Saccharomyces cerevisiae S288C: one gene and its partners. Changing the gene in region 3 together with the main gene of any one other region gives a genetic interaction. Each region holds a gene or a part of one and is shown on either strand. Other genes may lie near its edges.

Region 1 (3,736 bases), on a different chromosome or scaffold from region 3:
ACCTTTTATAAGGGAAAAGAAATAGAAAAAGATTATGATTTGTAAAAAGATTTTGGTATGAATGATTTGTATATTACATTTTTAAGGTTCTCTAAAAGAAGGTTTCTTTTATTTAGATAAATATTTTTTTTTTAATAGACGTAGCCACATGCAGCCTTTAATATACACATTAGGACTGGCTTATTTTTGCCGTGTAGCGAGGCAATTATGTGGTCACGATCACTCGTTGCTTTCCAAGTCTTTTTAACATTTTATAAGATTATTAGATAATGATATACAGAAAATTAGTTATAAAAAAAACATTTTATGGAAGAGTATATAAGGGGCAATTAAGAAAATTAGCATTGCCAAACGAACCAATAATGGGAAAACATCAAGTATGGCTAGCCAAATTCTCGGAAGAATGGATTGGCCAACCGCAGAAAAGATAAATGCAAAGGAATGGATGCGACTAGAGTAGTAGTAGAAAAGGACACTTCTTTTTTTCCTTTCTAATCAATGCAAATGAGAAAAAGTCATCAGGATAAAAGAACTAATAGTTTTCTGCTTAACAGTCTATCAAATCGATAGCTTCCAAGTGGACTGGAGTACATTGACTACCAATGTGTTCGTCGTACAAGTTGTAGAAAGTACCGGACAAACATTGGTAGAAGACATCATTGTCACCAATAGCCAAGTTACCGTCTGGAGTTATAGACCAACCAGCAGCGTAGATGGCACCAGCTTGTGGTGGTGGACCGTCAAATTGGAATTGTCTGTTAGCAACAATAGAACCAATTCTACCCTTACCGTCAGTTAAGATACCGCCCTTTAAGTTCATTTCTAAGGTACCAGAAGTCTTACAGGAGACAGCATCGACTGGGTCAGTGGAGGTAGCGGCTGCAGAAGCGGAAGTAGCAGTAGTAGCTTGGACTTGGCCATCGCTTACTTGGCTGGCTGCTTGAGTGGTTTTTGTAGTGGCTTGAACTTGACCGTCAGTAATTTGGGAAACAGCTGCGGCAGTGGTTTTGGTAGTTGCTTGAACTTGACCATCACCGATTTGAGAGACAGCAGCAGCGGTAGTCTTGGTAGTAGCTTGAACTTGACCATCACCGATTTGAGAAACGGCGGCAGCAGTAGTCTTGGTGGTAGCTTGAACTTGACCATCACCAATTTGAGAGACAGCAGCAGCGGTAGTCTTAGTAGTAGCTTGAACTTGACCATCACCGATTTGAGAAACGGCAGCAGCGGTGCTCTTTGGGGCTAAAGTAGTGGTGGTAGCTTGAACTTGACCATCACCGATTTGAGAAACGGCAGCAGCGGTGCTCTTTGGGGCTAAAGTAGTGGTGGTAGCTTGGATTTGACCATCACTGATTTGAGAAACGGCAGCGGCGGTAGTCTTAGCAGAGGTAGTCTTGGTGGTAGCTTGAATTTGACCATCACCAATTTGAGAGACAGCAGCAGCGGTAGTCTTAGTAGTAGCTTGGATTTGACCATCACCGATCTGAGAAACGGCGGCAGCGGTACTCTTGGTAGAGACAGAAGCAGTAGTGGTAGCAGCTTGGACTTGACCATCACCAATTTGGGAAGCAGCTCTCTTGGCCTTAGATGAGGCTGTGGTGGCTGCAGATGATGCGCTGGATGTAGTGGAGATTGGTTGAACGGCAATACCGAAGGTGGAAGCGTAGTCGGTAACACCACCGCTGTAAGTGGCTGTTGGAGTCAAAGTGGACCAAGGCTCAGATGGAGCATAGGCGGCCAATGTAGTAGCGGCCAAAGCAGAGGCAACCAAAGTCTTTTTGTATTGCATTATATTATTATTATTGTACTAGGGTTAGAAAAGGAATATGAGTTTCTTATTGATATTTTTTTGAGCTTTGAGGTAAAAGGAAGGACATAATCGAAATTGATTGTCGTTAGACTTCAAGTGTTCCTTTTATATCTCGAGGATTCCTACCATTCAAGCTAATAAATTTTTCACCAACCATTCCTTTTTTAGGATCTTTCTTATTTTGACCAAAATCTAAATTTAGCTCAAAATGTGGTGTTCCGCTTGAGAAAACACTCATTTGTACTATTAGTTTTCCTGATCTGGTAAAGAAATGAAAAATTAGGCTGAGTTGGCGACTTATCACTACAGACGGAAAGCCATTAATGAGCTTTTTTGTCTTTAATAATTTCCGAAATAGGAAATAGTAAGATCACTTAATATGAATAACTCCCAAGAATTACCATTTACGGCCCCTTCCAATAGAGGTGGGAAATGTGTATGTGCATTGTGAGGGTCGCCTAATTGGGCAGAAGGGGGGAGAAATGAGCGTGGCAAAGCAGTGAGATTGACTCGTTTTGCGGCCAGCAACGTGTTGGACATGGCGGACCTGCCTGCATTAATTATAGCACAAAGCCTATCATTCATCGCATCCTTGTGCAAGTTCTAAGTTCACCTCCATATGGATTAGCGGCCAGGATAATGGAAAAAATTTACCATACTTTTTTTTGCAGAATAGATCAACAGTTTGGTGCATTTGTTCCTTCTTGTTTTTTTTTTGCTTGTTTTTACAATTTTTACTGTTTTACTATGAACTGATGGCTGGTATAGTGACAGAGTTTCTACTTTTTTGCTACTTAGTAGACTACTATACTAACTAGGACATATGTTGTTCGTAACGGTAAATGCACTTAAAGTATTTTACTGTTTTTAATTGGATTTGCTTGTTGTAGTAATTTTTGGACTGATTTCGGTCAATCGCTATTTTAATTTTTACTGTTCCTTGCATCTTTTACTAATCCGAAATTAGCTCAGCTCAAATTTGTAGTTTACTAAAGTACGCTTTTCCTAAAAGACGAAAACACAAATATAGTGAAGACATTATCCGACTTTTTTGCCAAAAAGGGACAAAGCACGAAATTAAGTAAAACTGTGGTAAAAACTACAGAGGAACGTCGCATTGGCTAGCAAGGATCTATTGTTACTCTATCAAAACCCCTTTGCCAAGCTCACATATCCTATTTGCCGTTCCTGAAGGCATCCAACTAGGCTTGATATCATCTTACTTATATAGTGGGCTTCTGCTCCTTAACCTGATCAATTTCACCTCTAATTTTGTAGGATTCCTGAGAAAATACAGAAATTCTAACGTTCCTCTGATATATTACGAGTGAATCATTGGGTATATATAAGAGAAGTGGAGTAACAAAAGCTGTAGAAAGTAAGTTACACAGAGTCACAAAAGAATATCGACTTTTTGTGCAAGAAAATTCGACTGTTTTGACTCACAAAATTATTCTTTTTGCGAAAGAGTGGGGAAACGAAAACAGTTAAAAGAGTAAAATAACTTGTATACATATACTTATCTTCTTGTTTCGAAATTTCTGTTTAGTCTCGATTTTTTAATTCTATACAACTTACTGAAGAAGTGAACACCGCCCCAATATGCATTACAAGAAAGCATTTCTAGCATCTCTATTAAGTAGTATTGCGCTAACTGCGTACGCTCCACCTGAACCCTGGGCAACTTTAACTCCAAGCTCTAAAATGGATGGTGGCACAACAGAGTACCGGACCTCATTCGGTCTCGCTGTTATACCTTTCACCGTTACTGAAAGTAAGGTCAAAAGAAACGTCATTTCACAAATTAATGACGGTCAAGTGCAAGTAACGACACAAAAATTACCTCATCCAGTTTCGCAAATTGGAGACGGCCAAATACAAGTTACAACGCAGAAGGTGCCTCCAGTAGTGTCACATATTGTGTCA
Region 2 (4,527 bases), on a different chromosome or scaffold from region 3:
TTACGGGACTAGGTAAGGCTCCCCATGGCTGAGCCCGCGCAAGGAAATCCAGGATCATCCGCGGAAGAAATAAGCTGCTCCCGGCCCAGACTATGTAAGAAAAGTGGCAACAAACAGAAAAGCGAATCTTTCCTTTCAGGCAATGCAAGGGTCCTTTGCCGTTTGGCGAATTCCGGTAACCTCGACTTGCGCCCCGCGGGCTTCGCTTTGACATCCGCGGGTATAAGCGTCCGTCCTTCGGCCGACAACAGGTCGGTCTTTGATCTCAATTCCGTAGATGGAAGAATTCTGATAATGCTGTAAAAGAAATGAATAAGCAACATAAGTCGTGTGAGAGTTGCTAAAAGAAGAGCGCAGCCTCTGCGGACCATTCTATTTTCTGTAGTTCTTCTTGTCCCCGTTAACCACAATAGTAACGGAGTGCGTATCGCAATCTACTTGAACTATCCATTTTTGAAAATTGCAACCTCTTGCGGCTATAGCTATAAATTCCGTCCGGCTCGGCTCGGCTTGCTTCGGCTTGCTTCTAACTAATGCTTCTCCCCTGCGAAGGAGAATCACCCAACTGTTCGTCACCAATGTACGTCCACCCACCAAACTGCTTTTGAATACTTGCACTTAAGTACTCGTCCACTACACTATCGATCGGTTTTTCCTTAGTGAACTCTTGATCAAAATTTGCAGTATCTATTTCACTCTTTACAATTGGCTTGTAAGGCGGAATATAGCCCTTCAAAAGTAGCTTTTTCCATGAGATGTCTTTAAAGAAAGGATGGTTACGAATTTCATCTGTACCGTTAACGCCGAGTCTTCTGCTTGGGTCTCTGCTTAAGAGGCCAATTAATAGGTCTTTTGCCGCAGGGTCAAATCCATCAGGAAATAGTAGCGGTTGCTGCAGAATTTTCTTGTACATAACAGGAACGTTCTCATCATAGTATGGTGGCAGCCCTGTCATCATCTCATACAGTAAGATACCTAATGTCCACCAGTCAACTGTTTTAGTATAGCCCTGCCCCAACAAGATTTCTGGTGCCAAATATTCGGGAGTACCACAGAAAGTGTCTGTTTTGTCATTATCCTTCATGTTCAGCTTGCAAAGCCCAAAATCACACAGTGCAATATGTCCTTGGTAATCCAATAGAATGTTTTCAGGCTTTAGGTCACGATAAATGACGTCAAGTTTGTGTAATGAATCGAGAGCACATAATAGTTCTGCAATATAAAAACGGGAGCGTGCTAGACTGAATCGTCCCTCGTGTTGTAAATGGTAGAACAGTTCACCGCCATTAATGAAAGCTAATACTAGGTACAACTTCTCCGGAGATTGGAATGAGAACTTCAACGGAACAATAAAGGGGCAGTCAACTCTTGCTAGGACAGTCCTCTCCGCTAAAGTATGTGTCACTTCACATTTCGATACAATATATGCTTTTCTCAGAGCCTTCAAAGCGTAAATCTTTTGGGTATCTTTTTTCCTTACTTGCATCACTTTGCCGAACGAACCCTTCCCGATAACCTTCAATAGATCAAAGTCATCAATGGAGAGAGGCTTGTTCTTAGAAGGTTTGTAGTCCACCGTGATATTTAATTTACCATATCCCCTTTCTAAAGAAATCCAATGGTGATTGTATAGTCTTATTTGGGCTGCAGAATCGATTTTTAAATTCAAAGGTAAATGGAAGGAGTCCAAATGGATATCCTGATTTGTATTGATTTTTTTTAAAATCTCCTTCAGTACTTCGTCCTGCTCGCCAATCTCCTGTTGCCAGTTTTTAGAGGGTAAAAGTAGGGATGGAATCCTTGCAAAGACATCGATTTTTAAAAATCGTAATTTTCTTGTTACATCAAATGTCGATATTTTGTTAAACACTGGTTGCTCCATCGTTCCCATATCTGGACTAATAGTAGTAATAGAATTATCAAATTCAATTGTAAAATAAAGTAATGGGCTTGAATTTGTTGACCCAGGTAACAATATAGAGGAAGGAATGAATTTAGTGGCAAAAGCTCTATCTATCAAGCCTTCCCCTGCTGAATCTTGATCCACTCTCTTGTATCGTGGTAGCTGCCGCATTATGGCTGCAACTTCGGAAGCGTCATTGGATGATGAAGTAAGGATGCCGGAACTTAGTAGTTTTTGTAAAATAGTAGAGTTAGAGGTGATAGGGAAGGGAAGAGTAAAATCTTTACCAGAATACACCTTCACTGTCATTAGTCCGGATTCCGAACTCGGTCCCTGCGTCTCAGTAGACGACTGACTAGCTTTCCTTTCGGAAGCCTTAGAATTGTCATTTCCTATCCCCGATGGATTCTTGAAGGATGCATCATTACGTAATTTTGGAGAACTTAAGGAACTTGGGAGAGTCTCATTTGTATTGATCTTTCTTATATGGTGTTCGTGTTCATGATTATGATTCTTCGGGCTACCATCGTGATGTTTTTCTCCATGGTGGAAATGAAACAGGCCATTACCCCACGATTTTTCATTTTCATCTTCACTACTCCCATCATCTTCTTTGGACCTTCCTAACTTAAACTTGGATATTCGCCAGGAATGCATGTTACTATATGTATATTTGTATACGCGATAATTTGACCCAGTTGAACAATTCTGGTTTAGGAGCACTTTGGCTGAATTTTATCATTTTATTTATAAATCTAAGGATGACGGCCATTTTACAGATTTCTCGAGGGAAATATAATAAAAAACTCGGGGTAGGTAATCTGAATTCGGGGATACGCTAATTTGGGAAAAATTCGTGAATTAGATATAATTAGAAACAGCACTTATGAAGAAGATACTGCGATTAACCAAAATATTCTCCTCCTTATGAAAAAAAAAAAAAAAAGACTCAGAAACCTATGCAATCGTTTGCTAATATGTCGAAATATGGATCTATTAAGTATATAAAGTATGTGTTCAAAAAATTGAAATTTTCTTCTTTACCGTTAATATTCATTGAAAAAGGTGAAAATCATTAAGCCATTAGTAAATCATTCGTTTTAAGTACGAACCGTTGGTTCTTCAGTTCCTAAAACTTGTTTAAAGTTCAAGAACTTGATGACCGAGTTAATAATTGGCTTCAAGTATTCTTCAGCTGTCTTTTGGTATTGTGATTTATCATCGCAGTATTTTTCAATGTACAATCTAATGGTAGCACCTGAAGAACCTGTACCTGACAATCTTAGAACGAATCTTGCACCATTGGAAAGCTTGACATATAAACCTTGATGGTCAGAAACAGAACCGTCCAAATCTGTGTATGAAAAATCACCACAATCGGTGACCTTAAGAGACTCATCGGCTGGGAAGGCGGAATTAACAACACCCGATTTGGTAACATATGCTCTCAATTGATCGACAATCTTGTTAGCTTTTTCTGTTTCAACTTTTTCAAAATCATAACGAGTGAAGAAAGTACGGCCGTACTTTGCCCAGAATTCATTCTGTATCGTCTTAATAGAAGCTTCGTTCTCCGGATGATGCTTGTTGTAAATGGCCAAGATGTTCAACCACGCCATAATGGCCCAAACACCGTCCTTTTCCCTTACGTGGTTGGAACCAGTACCAAACGATTCTTCACCACAAATAGATAATTTTTTAGCGTCGAACAAAGCACAGAAAAATTTCCAGCCAGTTGGGACCTCATAACAGTTTAGACCATGGGCCTTGGCAACACGGTCTATGGCTCCTGAGGTAGGGAATGAACGGGCCAGACCATATATACCTTGCTTGGCGAAATATGGGATTTCAGCTGCATATTCGGCAATAATTGCGACGGAGTCACCTGGAGAAACGAAAGATGGGCCGTAACCGTAAATCATATTTCTATCACCATCACCATCGGATGCAGCACCAAACTCAATCTTTTCACGATCTACTCTTTTCACTAACGAACTGGCATAAGTTAAGTTTGGATCTGGATGCATACCACCAAAATCCGGAGAAGGATGCCAGTTTTGTAAAACCTCATCCGCCGGTAAACCAAATTCATCAACGAAAATAGCCTTACCGTATGGTCCAGTTACACCGTTCATACTGTCAAACAGTAACTTCCAATTCTTAGTAGAACGTTGATTATCGATGAATTTCTTGATTAAGTCGAAATCGAAGATTTCCTTCAAGAAGTTGACATAATCTTTTGTAATATCGATAATGTCAACGAGTAATGGACCGTATTTCTTGTTCTTGCCTATCGTACCCAAGTCTAGTTCTGGGAAGTCTTTGATAATCTTATAGCTGGTAAGCTTTTTGGAAATCTCCCAAATAGCATTTGTGACGGATTCAGGAGCAGGACCCCCATTGGATAAGTTATACTTAATACCCATGTCATTTTCTGGACCACCTGGATTATGTGAGGCGGTTAAGATAATACCACCAGTACATTTTTCCTCGTAGGTTCTCATGATGTGAGAAGCGGCTGGCGTAGACAGAAGACCATGCTGGCCAATAACTAACTTTTTAATACCGTTGGCAGCACCGATAGCGGCAATCTTATGAAGAATGACATCATTGTAGTAACGCCC
Region 3 (6,474 bases):
AATAAGAACTATGCCATTCTTAAATTCACGAAGGCTCTTCCAGGCGACCTGTCCCGACCGCTTTATATAGGAATTAGCAATGAGGAATGCATTTATCAGTAGTGTATAGATTGTTAGACAAATGCTTATCGAGTCGCTTAGAGACCTAGGTTAGTTCGTCATGTTAGTATAAAAAACGCTGTTTCTAACCTCATGCCTATTTTCTACTTTACATACCATCTCAATACAAGAGCTACCAGAAGTGGATAGCGCAGCAGTGGCAGAACTACCCAACGACACAAACAGTCTATATTCATCACCAGAACTTCACCTTTTCCTCACAGCCGTATTATCACATATTAATGTATCTGTTCTACTGATTTTAAAGAGCTACTTGTTATACGGCTAAATGCACTTCCGAGGGTAACCTGTTATTCAGGATTATATGAACAGAGAGAATAATGATGTGAGTTACTGCAAATAGCATAATTACTGGACTATATTCTTGTTGGCTTATATTATTACAACGATATTTACCATTAAAAGTGTCTATATCTTATATTATTGATGATCTGCCATTGCTACAGGATTGCACGCGACTAATAATTGTCTATTAAGTATATTTGGATGACTTAACACAAGAATTGTTTTCTCTCTCCTTTCTGAACTAGCCAGCTTTATCTTCTTTCCTTTTATGATCTGGACGGGAACCAATTCGCCTAGGTTCTGCTCAACATTTTTTAAGTCGTAAATCTGTATCAAATTGTCGCCAACGAGAATCAAATGATTACCATGGAAGCTCGCGCCGGTACAACAAAAATCAAGTAAGAGAATATCCTTTCTCCAATCAGACATCTCACCGTAGCAGTTTATTTTCACTACGGCTTCATCATAAACCAAGGCAAAAAAACTAGATTGTGATATTTGAAAAAAATTGACCGGTATAGCTTTGCAAGTGGCGATATCCTTTTTTGCTTCTTCAGTGAGAGATTCTATGGAGGGGCGTTTCTTGGAGTCTGTAGCACTTTTGAACGGTAAGCTATTCAAATGTGGATGCCTCAAGTGTGCCATCATATCTTTATCATTCAAAAAAGATGGTAAGACTATTCCGTTATCCTCGAATGAATCTTGATAAAGTATGACTGTTTTCTTTGTACACACAGCAAAACTTTTCCTGAATATGGCAATATCCTCAATTTCGTTATTCAGAATGTTATTACTTGAACTTGGGAGCTTATACTCTTTGTAAAATTTGAAATATTTTACTTGGTTTGTCAATTGATCAAATTCTGGTGTTAATATAACTATCTTCCCCTTTCTTTCAAAAAATAAATGTTTTGAGTTACCAAAATCATCAGCAATTTTGAAGAATCTCACCTTATCTCTGATTACTGTTCCCACAATGCAGTTTTCATCTAGAGTGTTTCCTTGCGCTAGGTAACGGCTCACTACCGTTGAGATATTAAAATAGCACAACTTTCTGTTATCCAATACAAACAAGAGCCCCAACTTAACATTGGCTTCCATTCTTTTGACGTCGTTTAATTCTAATATTTTAACGAAACCACTACCATAATCGTCTCTATATTTCACATAGATACCGTCTGTTGTAGCCACAAATAGGTAAATTCTGCCCTCGAATTTAACATCTTCACAACAAAGAATCCGTGTTGTCTTACTCCATGAACATGAATCTTTGTTTGCTTTTTGAGCGTAAGCTTTGAGTGCTACATCAATTTCTGATCCTTCCGGAGCTACAGGTAGATTCACCGGTGCATCCTTGTCGAAGTATGCGAACTCAGAGCTCAACACTGTAAATTCAAAGGCATTTAAATCATGATTTTCTGCATTTCTTTTAAAAGATTCCATGATAGCATCAATCCATTGGTTGAGTACTTCTGCACTTTCTGTAAAAAATTTGAACGATTCACCTGTGGCTGTATTTCTGATCTTAAATGAGAACTCGTCTGTGTTTGGATTCGCGTTAGAAATTTCAGTATTACTAGTCTTTCTATCTCCATACGCTGTTGACATGTGATTTCCAGAACTTTTAAGCAGAGGTCTCATGGAGTTAATCGGTGTCGAAAAATTATGCATTGGGGATTTATGTTCTTTCTGAGAGTAGTTTCTCAGAGGCTGTTTACTTGTTCCTGGAATTTTCCTTTTCTCGAGACTTAAATAATCTATTGGGATAGGTCTTTCAATAAGCTTATATTTTTGAGTTTCTCCTTTACTTATTTCCTCTGTAATCAGTAAGCAATTGTCCAATAATGCGATATACACTGGGGTTGGGTCCAGCCATAAATCCCTCTTTTTATAAACAGTGCCAGATAGTACTAACTTCCTTTCCGGATAAGTTAAACCAAGAGCTAGTTTATCCTGAATTGCATCATCGTCATTTGCGTTAGTACTACCACCGACGTTCACATAGCTTGTTGCATTACTACTATTAGTACTTAATACTAATTGTTTCGAAAACCTTACTAGTTTCCTATGGTCAATTGCTAATCCATGTACCTGATTAACTTCAAAGTTCAACTTTTCTACTTCCTTAATTACTATTTTCAGGTATTCATAATCCTCCATGGAAGGATCCGTGTTCTTCAAAATTGAGCGCAGAGTTACGGGCATGTTTTGTAAAGATTTGAAAAACCCCCCAAAGAATATAACATCATGATACATCTTCGATCTTGTAATTTCAACCGAGTTATCAATCTCCTTAAGCCATGTTACAAATTTCGTCTTGTTTTTCTTCTCCCACATTATGATTTCGTGTACCGTTGCCATAGCTTTCGCGTAATTCAAATATATATTCTTGGCTTCACCACACCATTTTGAATAGATTTTTCCAACGCCATCAATAAACTTACCTCTCGTTTTTAATTTCCAAAATATTGGCGTCAAAAGAAATTCGGTATGTAATTGTATTAGAGGTTCGAAGATATCAAATGCCAATGCCTTGAACTCAGGCTCATCTGGAAGTAGGGATTTGTCAAACCGTTTCCCATAGATTTCTACCGCGGCAGTAGCCATGTTTAAGGATCTTTCTTCTAAAATAATTAAGTCAAATATAAAGCTTTGTCTTTGTACTTCACGGGGATTAATTTCTGCTAAATCATCTGGAGTCAAGTGCCAGTATTCTGTCCAAAGTCCAACTGATTTATTTATGATTTCGGAAAGTTTTATTTCTTTTCTGAAGCCAGAGCTTTGGCCATGTGTGCAAACGTTGGAATAACAAATCAGGGAGTTTGTAGATCCATAAGTATTATCGATGAATGAATAGCACGGTAGTAGTTCGGTGAAAACACCAGTAATATCCAGCCCTCCCACAACTACGGCTACCTCTTCATCGTTAATGATATCGAATCTTACTGCTTTCTGGGAAATAAACGAAGCCATAATATTATCCACATTTGAGTCTATCGTATCTTGATCGAAATTTGTAGGCATTTGAAACTCTAAAAGTAATTGAACAATTTGGAAAAGATCGATTTTCGTGAAGACACATTCATTAAACCATTCAAAATAAACTTTCAAAATCCACTCATAAATAGCAGAAAGTTTGTAAACATTATCACATTGATAAAGCTTGTGCTCATCGATAGATTGAATTGAAAATGGTTGTGTCGGTGCAGTAATGCTTGGTGCTAATTCTAATGGCTTGGCTCCTAGTAAAGAGTTAAAACTACTTTGCCTGGCATTTGAGTTATTAAAAGTATAATCTGAGTCAGAATAAACACTTTCTAGGGCTTCTGATACTCGGCTATTCCCACTTACGTTTCTAGATGTTGATAGAGGCGGTGGTGGTTTCGTAAAAAATTCTGAGTCTTCATCATCAAAAGGAGATAGCAGAAGAGTAGTAGTGAAAGGAATTGGGGGTAAAGCTTTTTCTCTTTCATGACACCGTAGATCTGATTCATCAGAGAAGTGAGCCTGCTGTTTGCTACTATCTCTTGGAGATTTAGGGGAATTTGGACTAAATCCGTTCGCAAATGGTGATTTTAAGATCCTGGAATGGTTAGATATGTATTCCATGTGATGTCGTTCCTCTGAGTTTCCTATAAAGGATAGTTTATTAGGTGATCTTTCCCGGGACTGAGAACTGGGAGATACCATGGGTGAGTCTATCCGTATTGATTCAGTGGAATACAAAAGGGGTGGCGGTGGTGGTGGTCGTCTTTCTTTGACGTACTTTGTCGATTTGGGTGTGGATTCTGAAGAGCTAGTACCGTTTCCCCTTGCACTATGTTTTGATGTAAAGGTAAAAGCCTGAGGGACCGGGCTTTGGAATTGCTGGGTGTCACTGATTGGTGTCCAGCCAATTGAGATATTATCTGTTCCGTTATCAGAATCATCCAAAAAGGAGTTCCTCGTATTCAATGGTGGCAGTTTGGGCAATTCGATGCTCTTTCGTTGGCTTTCTTGACGGCTTACTCGTTTTTCTGGTGTTCGTTCAAAAGGGGAACTTCTATTATATCGATACATGTTAACTTGCTGCACTCAATAAGTTTTTTGTTTTAATGTTTATATTCGAAGTAGTATCAATTAATTGTTCATAACAGTGGCTGGAGGGGGTATACAGAACCACTAAAACCTCCAGAAATAATAGTTGAATAAAATATTGATGCAAGAAATGGATTTTGAACAGTTATATTGCGTACTGATCATCCTCTCTAGGGGTTGTTTACCTAAACGATGTGTTAACGTTTTCTCTAAATGATTTATATTGCGGCCTATGCGACGAGTCAGTATGAACAATAGAAAATCTTAAGAAGCCGTAAGCTAAAAACATCAAATGATTATAGCGCACCAACTGCTCGACTGGAAGCAGCGAAATTACGTATGTATGACCGAAGCTCAGTTAATTTTCTCTTAAGTAAAGACACAACCTTTAAATGTTGACTAACTGTGTTTGAGTAGGGGAAAAGTCCCCAAAAGTTGACGCATTTCCTTTGCATGACTGGTTTTGGAAAAGATTTCGACCTAACTCCCCAAAAAATTACTGTGAACACCTATCTGTGTAAATTTACGGTTGTTTTAGTCAAAATAGCTGTTATAACGTTTATCATAGTCCACTAAAACAGTATTTGGACACCGAACAAACTGTTTTCGATTAGGAGATTAATCGCATCTATTAAATAGCTTGATGTTTTTATTATACAATCTTCAACATTAGTTGTGATATGGAAGTTTAAAATACTGGCTAGAGACACTCGTTAGGGTTAAGGTAAATCGATAGCGGTAGTACATTATGGCATACATACCAAGATCGGGTAAAGCCGTTCCATAGTTAGATGCCTACTACTAAATGACGGTCTGAAATGGGAATTATATACGATAAATATCACAAATTGAGGAGATGGAATATAAGGATTAGCTGCTAATTATATGACAGGTTTATTGCGACGTTACTATATTACAACAGATGGCGGTTTTAGGGTAGTACCGCTTGCTTAATCGAATCAGATCAAATCAGAAGAAAAAGCAGGATCAGGCTTGAAGTACACGCTCAATGAACAAAAGCGAAAATAACCTTTTGTTTAGAGGTGCTTGTCATATCGAAATACTATATTAACTTTAAAATATTCCGCGCTACGTTGGGTGAATTAGAACTGACCAGGAGCATTTCCCTAATAAACTAAATTAGCGTGGCCACACTTTCAATCTTCGTGTGAACCTGTTGGAATAAAAATCAACTATCATCTACTAACTAGTATTTACGTTACTAGTATATTATCATATACGGTGTTAGAAGATGACGCAAATGATGAGAAATAGTCATCTAAATTAGTGGAAGCTGAAACGCAAGGATTGATAATGTAATAGGATCAATGAATATTAACATATAAAACGATGATAATAATATTTATAGAATTGTGTAGAATTGCAGATTCCCTTTTATGGATTCCTAAATCCTTGAGGAGAACTTCTAGTATATCTACATACCTAATATTATAGCCTTAATCACAATGGAATCCCAACAATTACATCAAAATCCACATTCTCTACATGGTAGCGCCTATGCTTCGGTTACTTCTAAGGAAGTCCCATCAAATCAAGATCCGTTAGCCGTTTCAGCTTCCAATTTACCGGAATTTGATAGAGATTCCACTAAGGTTAATTCTCAAGAAGAGACAACACCTGGGACATCAGCTGTTCCAGAGAACCATCATCATGTCTCTCCTCAACCTGCTTCAGTACCACCTCCACAGAATGGACAGTACCAACAGCACGGCATGATGACCCCAAACAAAGCTATGGCTTCTAACTGGGCACATTACCAACAACCATCTATGATGACGTGTTCACATTATCAAACGTCACCTGCGTATTATCAACCGGACCCACACTATCCGCTGCCACAGTATATCCCACCGCTGAGTACTTCCTCACCTGATCCAATCGATTCACAGGATCAACACTCTGAAGTACCTCAAGCTAAGACAAAGGTGAGAAATAATGTCTTACCACCACACACTTTAACATCAGAAGAAA
Region 4 (6,860 bases), on a different chromosome or scaffold from region 3:
TGTTGTTTCTTACAAATTGTTGGATGCCCCAGCTGCTATCAGAACTGGTCAATTTGGTTGGTCTGCTAACATGGAAAGAATCATGAAGGCTCAAGCCTTGAGAGACTCTTCCATGTCCTCCTACATGTCTTCCAAGAAGACTTTCGAAATTTCTCCAAAATCTCCAATTATCAAGGAATTGAAAAAGAGAGTTGACGAAGGTGGTGCTCAAGACAAGACTGTCAAGGACTTGACTAAGTTATTATATGAAACTGCTTTGTTGACTTCCGGCTTCAGTTTGGACGAACCAACTTCCTTTGCATCAAGAATTAACAGATTGATCTCTTTGGGTTTGAACATTGATGAGGATGAAGAAACAGAGACTGCTCCAGAAGCATCCACCGCAGCTCCGGTTGAAGAGGTTCCAGCTGACACCGAAATGGAAGAGGTAGATTAGGTAGAACATCATGGCCTTGAATAGGTTATAAACAAAACATAATATAACGTATAGGTATTCGAATGAATAAATAAGTATGTAAATAGGGCATCTGCATGGAAATAACTGGGTAAAACATTACAATGTATTTTTTTAGAGTTTTCACTATTCCGACGCGTCTAGTGTGTCATACAAAACGCGAAGAATCTGAAATCGTGAAATATACTTAAGAATATAACTGAAATAGCTTAAGCATAAATGGACTTTACTGCGAAGATAAAGGGTATGTTGAAACTCATCTGCTTTCATTATGCGTCCAACTAATTAACATTGCATATTTTCGTATACTATTTTTTTGTGTAGAGCTCGAACGAGAACTCTCAGAGACGAGTGACTATAAGACCTTGCAGAAGAAGACCATAAGTCTTCGAAGTGAGCTGAATACTCTGTCACATTCTTTGACATCTTATGAAAAAGAACACTTCTCCAATGATATAGAAAATGTATTAAAATCTATTAATGCAAAATTATCTGAGTCAAAGGGCAAAAAACGACTATTCTCCTTCAAACAGAAAAATTCATCATCAGCCGTTCATAAGAATGTTGAACGTACGGAGCTTGCGAATGCGCCGGCGTATACCACTACTTTGAAAAAGCATTATGTCTTGGAGAAGGGTGATTCAGCTTTTGAAAATTTAGAGTTTTGTACTGTTACATCAACAACAGATTATAGTGGCAATAGTGCCCTTTCTGGTTCTTTGTGCTTTCGCAATATTACTAAATGTGTCATAAACTTACAAAGGATTTTCTTTCAAACAGGGAGTATTTTCATAACTGATTGTACGGATTCTATAATTTTTCTACGGTCTCCTTCCGACAAGGATTTCCAAATCCGTTTACGTGACTTGAAAAATTGCAAAATTTTGATAGAGAAACTCTCGCCAAGTATCGATTGCAAACAAGTGGTAATCATAGAAAATTGTCACAAATGCATTTTCAACGCAAGCACTCGGGACCACCTAATTATACAAGATTTCTCTAACCCCTTCCAAAGCGAAGAAACTGAGGACAATTCTGCCTTTGCATTTGAAGATTTTGATATTTGTAACAAGGATACAATGCAGTTGTTTCGCGCTTACTTATAGCGCTTTATATTGAGCTACGCATCGCTAAAATTGTTTATTTCGTATATAGTGATTTAAGCATGCCATTAATAGCATATCCTAAAAGAGGAAAGTGTAAACATTACAAATTCTTCCATCTTGAAATTAAGAAACCCTGTTATTGACATCAGAAAACAACAGCTTTTTATTGAAAATAAGAAAGTAGTTGGCCAAAACATAGATTATTTTTTTGAAAAACTTATTGCACCAGTTCAATTATATGTAACAAGGTGGTGCAAAAACAATGACAGCATATTCAGGCTCTCCTTCGAAACCAGGCAATAATAATTCTTATCTAAATCGTTATGTTGAAAACCTAGGCACCAATGTGACTCCACCTCTGAGACCGCAGTCAAGTTCCAAAATCAACTCTTCGTTAAACATAGCGTCGCCAAGTCATTTAAAGACTAAGACGTCAGCTAGCAACAGTTCTGCGACAATTTTGTCAAAAAAAGTAGAAAGTTCCGTATCAAAGCTGAAGCCATCCCTTCCTAACAAACTCGTAGGAAAATATACCGTAGACTTAAGTAATTATTCGAAAATAGAACTGAGGTACTATGAGTTTTTATGCAGAGTATCAGAAGTCAAAATATGGATTGAAGCTGTTATTGAGGAAGCACTACCATCAGAAATAGAGTTATGTGTTGGAGACTCACTTAGGAATGGTGTTTTTTTGGCCAAGCTAACCCAGAGGATAAATCCAGATTTGACAACGGTTATATTTCCTGCAGGTGATAAACTACAATTTAAACACACTCAGAACATTAATGCCTTTTTTGGTTTGGTAGAACATGTCGGTGTTCCGGACTCTTTTAGATTTGAATTGCAAGATCTCTATAACAAGAAGAATATCCCTCAGGTTTTCGAAACCCTGCATATTCTTATATCAATGATTAATAAGAAATGGCCAGGCAAAACGCCCGCTTTAACAAATGTATCGGGCCAAATAAGTTTTACCAAAGAAGAAATCGCAGCTTGTAAAAAAGCATGGCCTAGAATTAGAGACTTCAAGTCCTTAGGAACTAATATCAATACTGCACCAGCTTCCCCTGAGGAACCAAAAGAAAAAAGAAGCGGATTGATAAAAGACTTTAATAAATTTGAAAGGCCGAATATACCGGTGGAAGAAATTTTAATTACCCCAAGAAAGAATATAACAGATGCTAATTGCTCCGATTTTTCTAATACACCTTCACCTTATAATGAAGCTCCAAAAATGTCAAATTTGGATGTCGTTGTTGAGAAGAGGAAATTCACACCCATTGAGCCGAGTCTTCTGGGCCCTACACCATCTTTAGAATATAGCCCAATAAAAAACAAAAGTCTGTCGTACTATTCTCCTACCATCTCGAAATACTTGACATATGATACAGAATTTTATACGAGAAGGAGTCGTGCAAGAGAGGAAGATTTGAATTATTACCAGACGTTCAAATACTCACCTTCTCATTATTCTCCCATGAGAAGAGAAAGGATGACAGAGGAACAATTTTTAGAGAAGGTAGTTCAACTGCAAAATATTTGTCGAGGAGTTAATACCCGTTTTAACCTATACATTCAAAAAAGGTTACTGAACCTTTTTGAACAGGACATACTAAGGTTTCAAGCATGCCTAAGAGGAAATAAATTTAGAGTATTGTCATCAATGTATTTGCCAATAAGAAGAGCAAAGATTGACGTTCCTCATGTCGAGGCGATTCAATCGCGAATTAAGGGAAGCAGAATTCGATATAAATACGATAAATTGAAATTTACACTCTCAAGGTTTTCGTGTACTGTCGAACTTTTGCAAGCATATTGTCGTTCAAAATTGTTGAAGACAACCGTTAACACAAAATTAAATGATATTGAGATATCACATTATCCTCTGACAAAATTGCAGTCTTATATGCGTGCTTCTTATGTGAGAAAGAAGGTGATGTCCCTCAATACAAAGTTGAACGATGAGCGAGAAAGTATTATGAAGTTTTCGGCAATCATCAGAGGTAACGTTGTGAGGTGTTCAGAGGACGCGATATTAAGTGCTGTACATGATGTACATAAGGAAAATATCTCAAAATTGCAAAGCTTGATTAGAGGAATATTTACGCGTTCGTGCCTAGCATCAATAATATATTCACTTGGAAAAGAAAACTGTAATATTATTCAATTATCAGCCTGTATACGCGGAAACGCTGTAAGACATAAGGTACAGTCACTGTTTGCGCCCGAAAATAATCTCAGTGAAACTGTGCACGACCTCCAGGGTTTGGTTAGAGGTATTCTAGTCCGCTACACATTAGACTTAGTCGATGACATTGTGGAGTATAATAATTTAGCATTATTTCAAGCATTTTCTAGAGGCGCTTTAGTACGTGAAAGCTTGGACCAAAAGTCGAGTTTTTACAAGAGAAACGTAAGGTCGGTTATTATGATTCAAAGCTGGATTAGGAAAAGTCTGCAAAGATCGGCATATTTGGAACTTCTAGACTGTCCAAATCCAAGTCTTTGGGCTGTCAAAAAATTCGTTCATTTGCTCAATGGAACAGCAACCATTGAAGAGGTCCAAAACCAGTTGGAGAGTTGCCAAGCCTCTCTTGATTCCGAAAATATGAAGAAGGAACGATTACTGAAGAGCATAAGACAACAACTAAATATTAACGGAGTATTGGATAAGTTTGGACTATTAAAAGATAAAGATCATGAACTCGGTATTTCCGATTCTACGATTCCGAAGTCTAAATATCAAAAGTATGAAAAACTGTTCTATATGTTGCAAGTTGATCCCTCTTATTGGAAATTGCTGTATTTGAAAGAGCCAGAATTTGTTGCAAAGAATGTTTATATGACATTTGGAACAGTGAATCAAAGGATGAACGACAGAGAGAGATCCTATTTCACAAGGTTTGTTTGTGAAATGTTACAAAATGCGATTAATGAAGCACCGAGTATTGAAAGCTTTCTTGACAACCGATCACAATTTTGGCAAACCATTCTTCAAGATTTTTTGAGAAGAGAGTCTCCAGAATTCTTCTCTATAATAGTCCCAGTTTTGGATTACTTGTCAGATCCAGTAGTGGATTTTGAAAGTGATCCATACAAAATTTATCAAGAAATACACGGCTTTAGCTCTCCTCAGCATTGTTCGCCTGTGGATGATGCGAGTACCAAGAATAAGTTCATTGACAATTTAAGGTGCCTATGGCACGCGATTGAAATGGTCGCTGAAATTTATACCAGAAAGGTTCACACTATTCCCGTTGAAATCAGGTACCTCTGCACTAAAATCTTCTGCTACGCGGCAGATAAGAATATTGAGGAGATTGACTCTTTAAGGGCCATATCAAGTATTCTAGTGAACGTTTTTGTGTCTGAATATTTGGTCAACCGGGAATATTACGGATACAAAGACAGCAACGTTCAAAAAAATAACCAAAAAATTGACATTCTAATGAAATCCTTGGCGACTGTTTTTGAAATCAAAAATTTTGATGGCTTTTTGGATCCATTGAACCAGTACGCTAACGAAATAAAGCCTCATATCAAAGATGTCCTTTATAATGTGTTAGTAGATCCAGAGTATGAACAAGAGGGAGATAGATTGATTTATTTGGATATGGTATCGCCAAGCCCCAAATTGGAATTGTTAACTGAAAAGGTTCTGGAAATCAGTGGTAAATTTGAAGAGTATTTAAATGAATTTCCGGAAGCAGATATTTTGCATGATATTTTGGAAAAGAACTTGGACAATTCATCCTTTCCAAGATCAGGACGTGTTACCTTGGAATTGGATGCATCTGCATATCGATTCCTCGTTAGTGATGACAAGATGAGAAAAATCTACGACCAAGTTAAAAGGGCATTTGTGTACATGATGCAAATTGAGGATGTAGATACCAATTTGTATGACCTTTCAATTAGTACAATTCTACCTCAAGATGAACCAAATTTTGCAAATTTTCTGGAGCAAAATCCTAAAATCAGGGATGATCCAATGATACAGAAGCTGAAACCATTGAAATACTTCACACTCAAAAATGTTACTTTGAAAAAAATACATGAACTAGAAAGTACGGGGACTTTTTGCTCTTCTGATAATAAGTTACAAAATTTCTTAAACGATATTGCGAACACTATTAAAAATCCCAACTATGCCATTGATTATGTAACCCAGGAAATTTACATCACAAAGGAAACACTCACAAAAATTTCGGAAATGAACCACAGCTTAGATATAGAATTATCAAGGCTTAAAAAACATGTTGATCATACGATAAAAGACTTCCAGAAAGCCAAGGATTTTTCGCCGGTGCACAAAAGTAAATTTGGAAATTTTAAGAATGCAGTAAAAAAAGTTCAAGGAAGAGAACGTTCTGAATTGCAGGGAATGAAGTTTAAATGGAACACAAAGCAGTTGTATGAAAGAGGAGTGCTTAAAACCATCAGGGGTGAAAAACTAGCTGAACTGACTGTAAAAGTCTTTGGTTCGAGCGGTCCTAAATTCCCAGATATAATATTCAAAATTTCCACATCGGATGGTTCTAGATTCGGTATTCAAATGATTGACAAAAGAAAAGGGCCCGATAAACGATACTCGGATGATGTCGATTCTTTCTCATTTAAAGACTTGATAAAGACTCAAGTTGAACCAAAAATCGAGACGTGGAAATTATTCCATTCCAACGTTGTTGTTAACAATAGCCAATTACTACATTTGATTGTCAGTTTTTTCTATAAAAGGAACGCTTTGTAATAGATAACTCGGTTTTGAGCATATTGGGCAAAAGCTGTTACTAAATTTTCCCATTCTTTCTATTTTTATCTTTGTTTTTATTTTCCTTATTTTCAGCAGCAAAAATAATTTAACGTATAGTTATGTAAAGGACCCTAAACATCTTCTTTTTAGCATGTGCTGTAATTTGGCGATATCTTCAGTAGATAAAAATAAGATGTGTTAAGTAATGCACTTCGTTATTTGGCTACTATAGTTGGCAATCATCATTTGTTTAAATGGAATAATCTATATAGTACTATAAATACAGTCATACTAGAAAAATATTAACGACCAAATAGGCCCAAGAAACCACGCTTCTTTTTAGGCTCTCCTTCCGTCTGCTCATTAGAAATTGGTGTTTGAGAGATGCTCTCGGTTTCTGTGACTGAATCTTTCACTTGAGAAGCTGAGGGCTCTTGCTTATCATATGTTATGTAGTTGAAGGCCAAATCAAAAAGTGTTGGTTTACTAGGAATGGGCAGCATTTTTGGCTTGAGAGGGAATAAATTTTTCAATTGTATGTCCGTTG

Evidence for each region.
Region 1: mutations in TUS1 (region 3) and HSP150 are lethal when combined (synthetic lethality), as found in Saccharomyces cerevisiae (2 studies listed by BioGRID, with this or other methods).
Region 2: of TUS1 (region 3) and YPK2, extra expression of one rescues a mutant of the other (dosage rescue), as found in Saccharomyces cerevisiae (one study listed by BioGRID).
Region 4: of TUS1 (region 3) and IQG1, extra expression of one rescues a mutant of the other (dosage rescue), as found in Saccharomyces cerevisiae (one study listed by BioGRID).

The regions. Positions count from the first base shown.
Region 1 is NC_001142.9:118,502-122,237, reverse strand, and holds HSP150 (heat shock protein HSP150), read right to left. Parts: upstream 1,790-3,736; coding exon 548-1,789; downstream 1-547. Other genes in the region: PIR5 (beta-1,3-glucan linked protein), read left to right, coding at 3,413-3,736. UniProt on the Saccharomyces cerevisiae protein: Component of the outer cell wall layer. Required for stability of the cell wall and for optimal growth. Required for resistance against several antifungal and cell wall-perturbing agents and for tolerance to heat shock.
Region 2 is NC_001145.3:472,894-477,420, forward strand, and holds YPK2 (putative protein kinase YPK2), read right to left. Parts: upstream 2,561-4,527; coding exon 527-2,560; downstream 1-526. Other genes in the region: YMR103C (uncharacterized protein), read right to left, coding at 9-371; phosphoglucomutase PGM2, read right to left, coding at 3,004-4,527. UniProt on the Saccharomyces cerevisiae protein: Plays an essential role in the proliferation of yeast cells. Involved in a signaling pathway, required for optimal cell wall integrity, that acts in parallel with the PKC1-SLT2-dependent pathway.
Region 3 is NC_001144.5:980,884-987,357, reverse strand, and holds TUS1 (Rho family guanine nucleotide exchange factor TUS1), read right to left. Parts: upstream 4,465-6,474; coding exon 541-4,464; downstream 1-540. Other genes in the region: TDA5 (Tda5p), read right to left, coding at 1-145, 217-296. UniProt on the Saccharomyces cerevisiae protein: Guanine nucleotide-exchange factor (GEF) for RHO1 that stimulates the exchange of RHO1 GDP-bound form into GTP-bound form. Required for signaling of cell wall defects to RHO1.
Region 4 is NC_001148.4:90,072-96,931, reverse strand, and holds IQG1 (Iqg1p), read left to right. Parts: upstream 1-1,822; coding exon 1,823-6,310; downstream 6,311-6,860. Other genes in the region: Hsp90 family chaperone HSP82, read left to right, coding at 1-436; GTPase-activating protein CIN2, read left to right, coding at 674-698, 779-1,560; signal recognition particle subunit SRP68, read right to left, coding at 6,616-6,860. UniProt on the Saccharomyces cerevisiae protein: Required for the assembly and the contraction of the actomyosin ring at the bud neck during cytokinesis.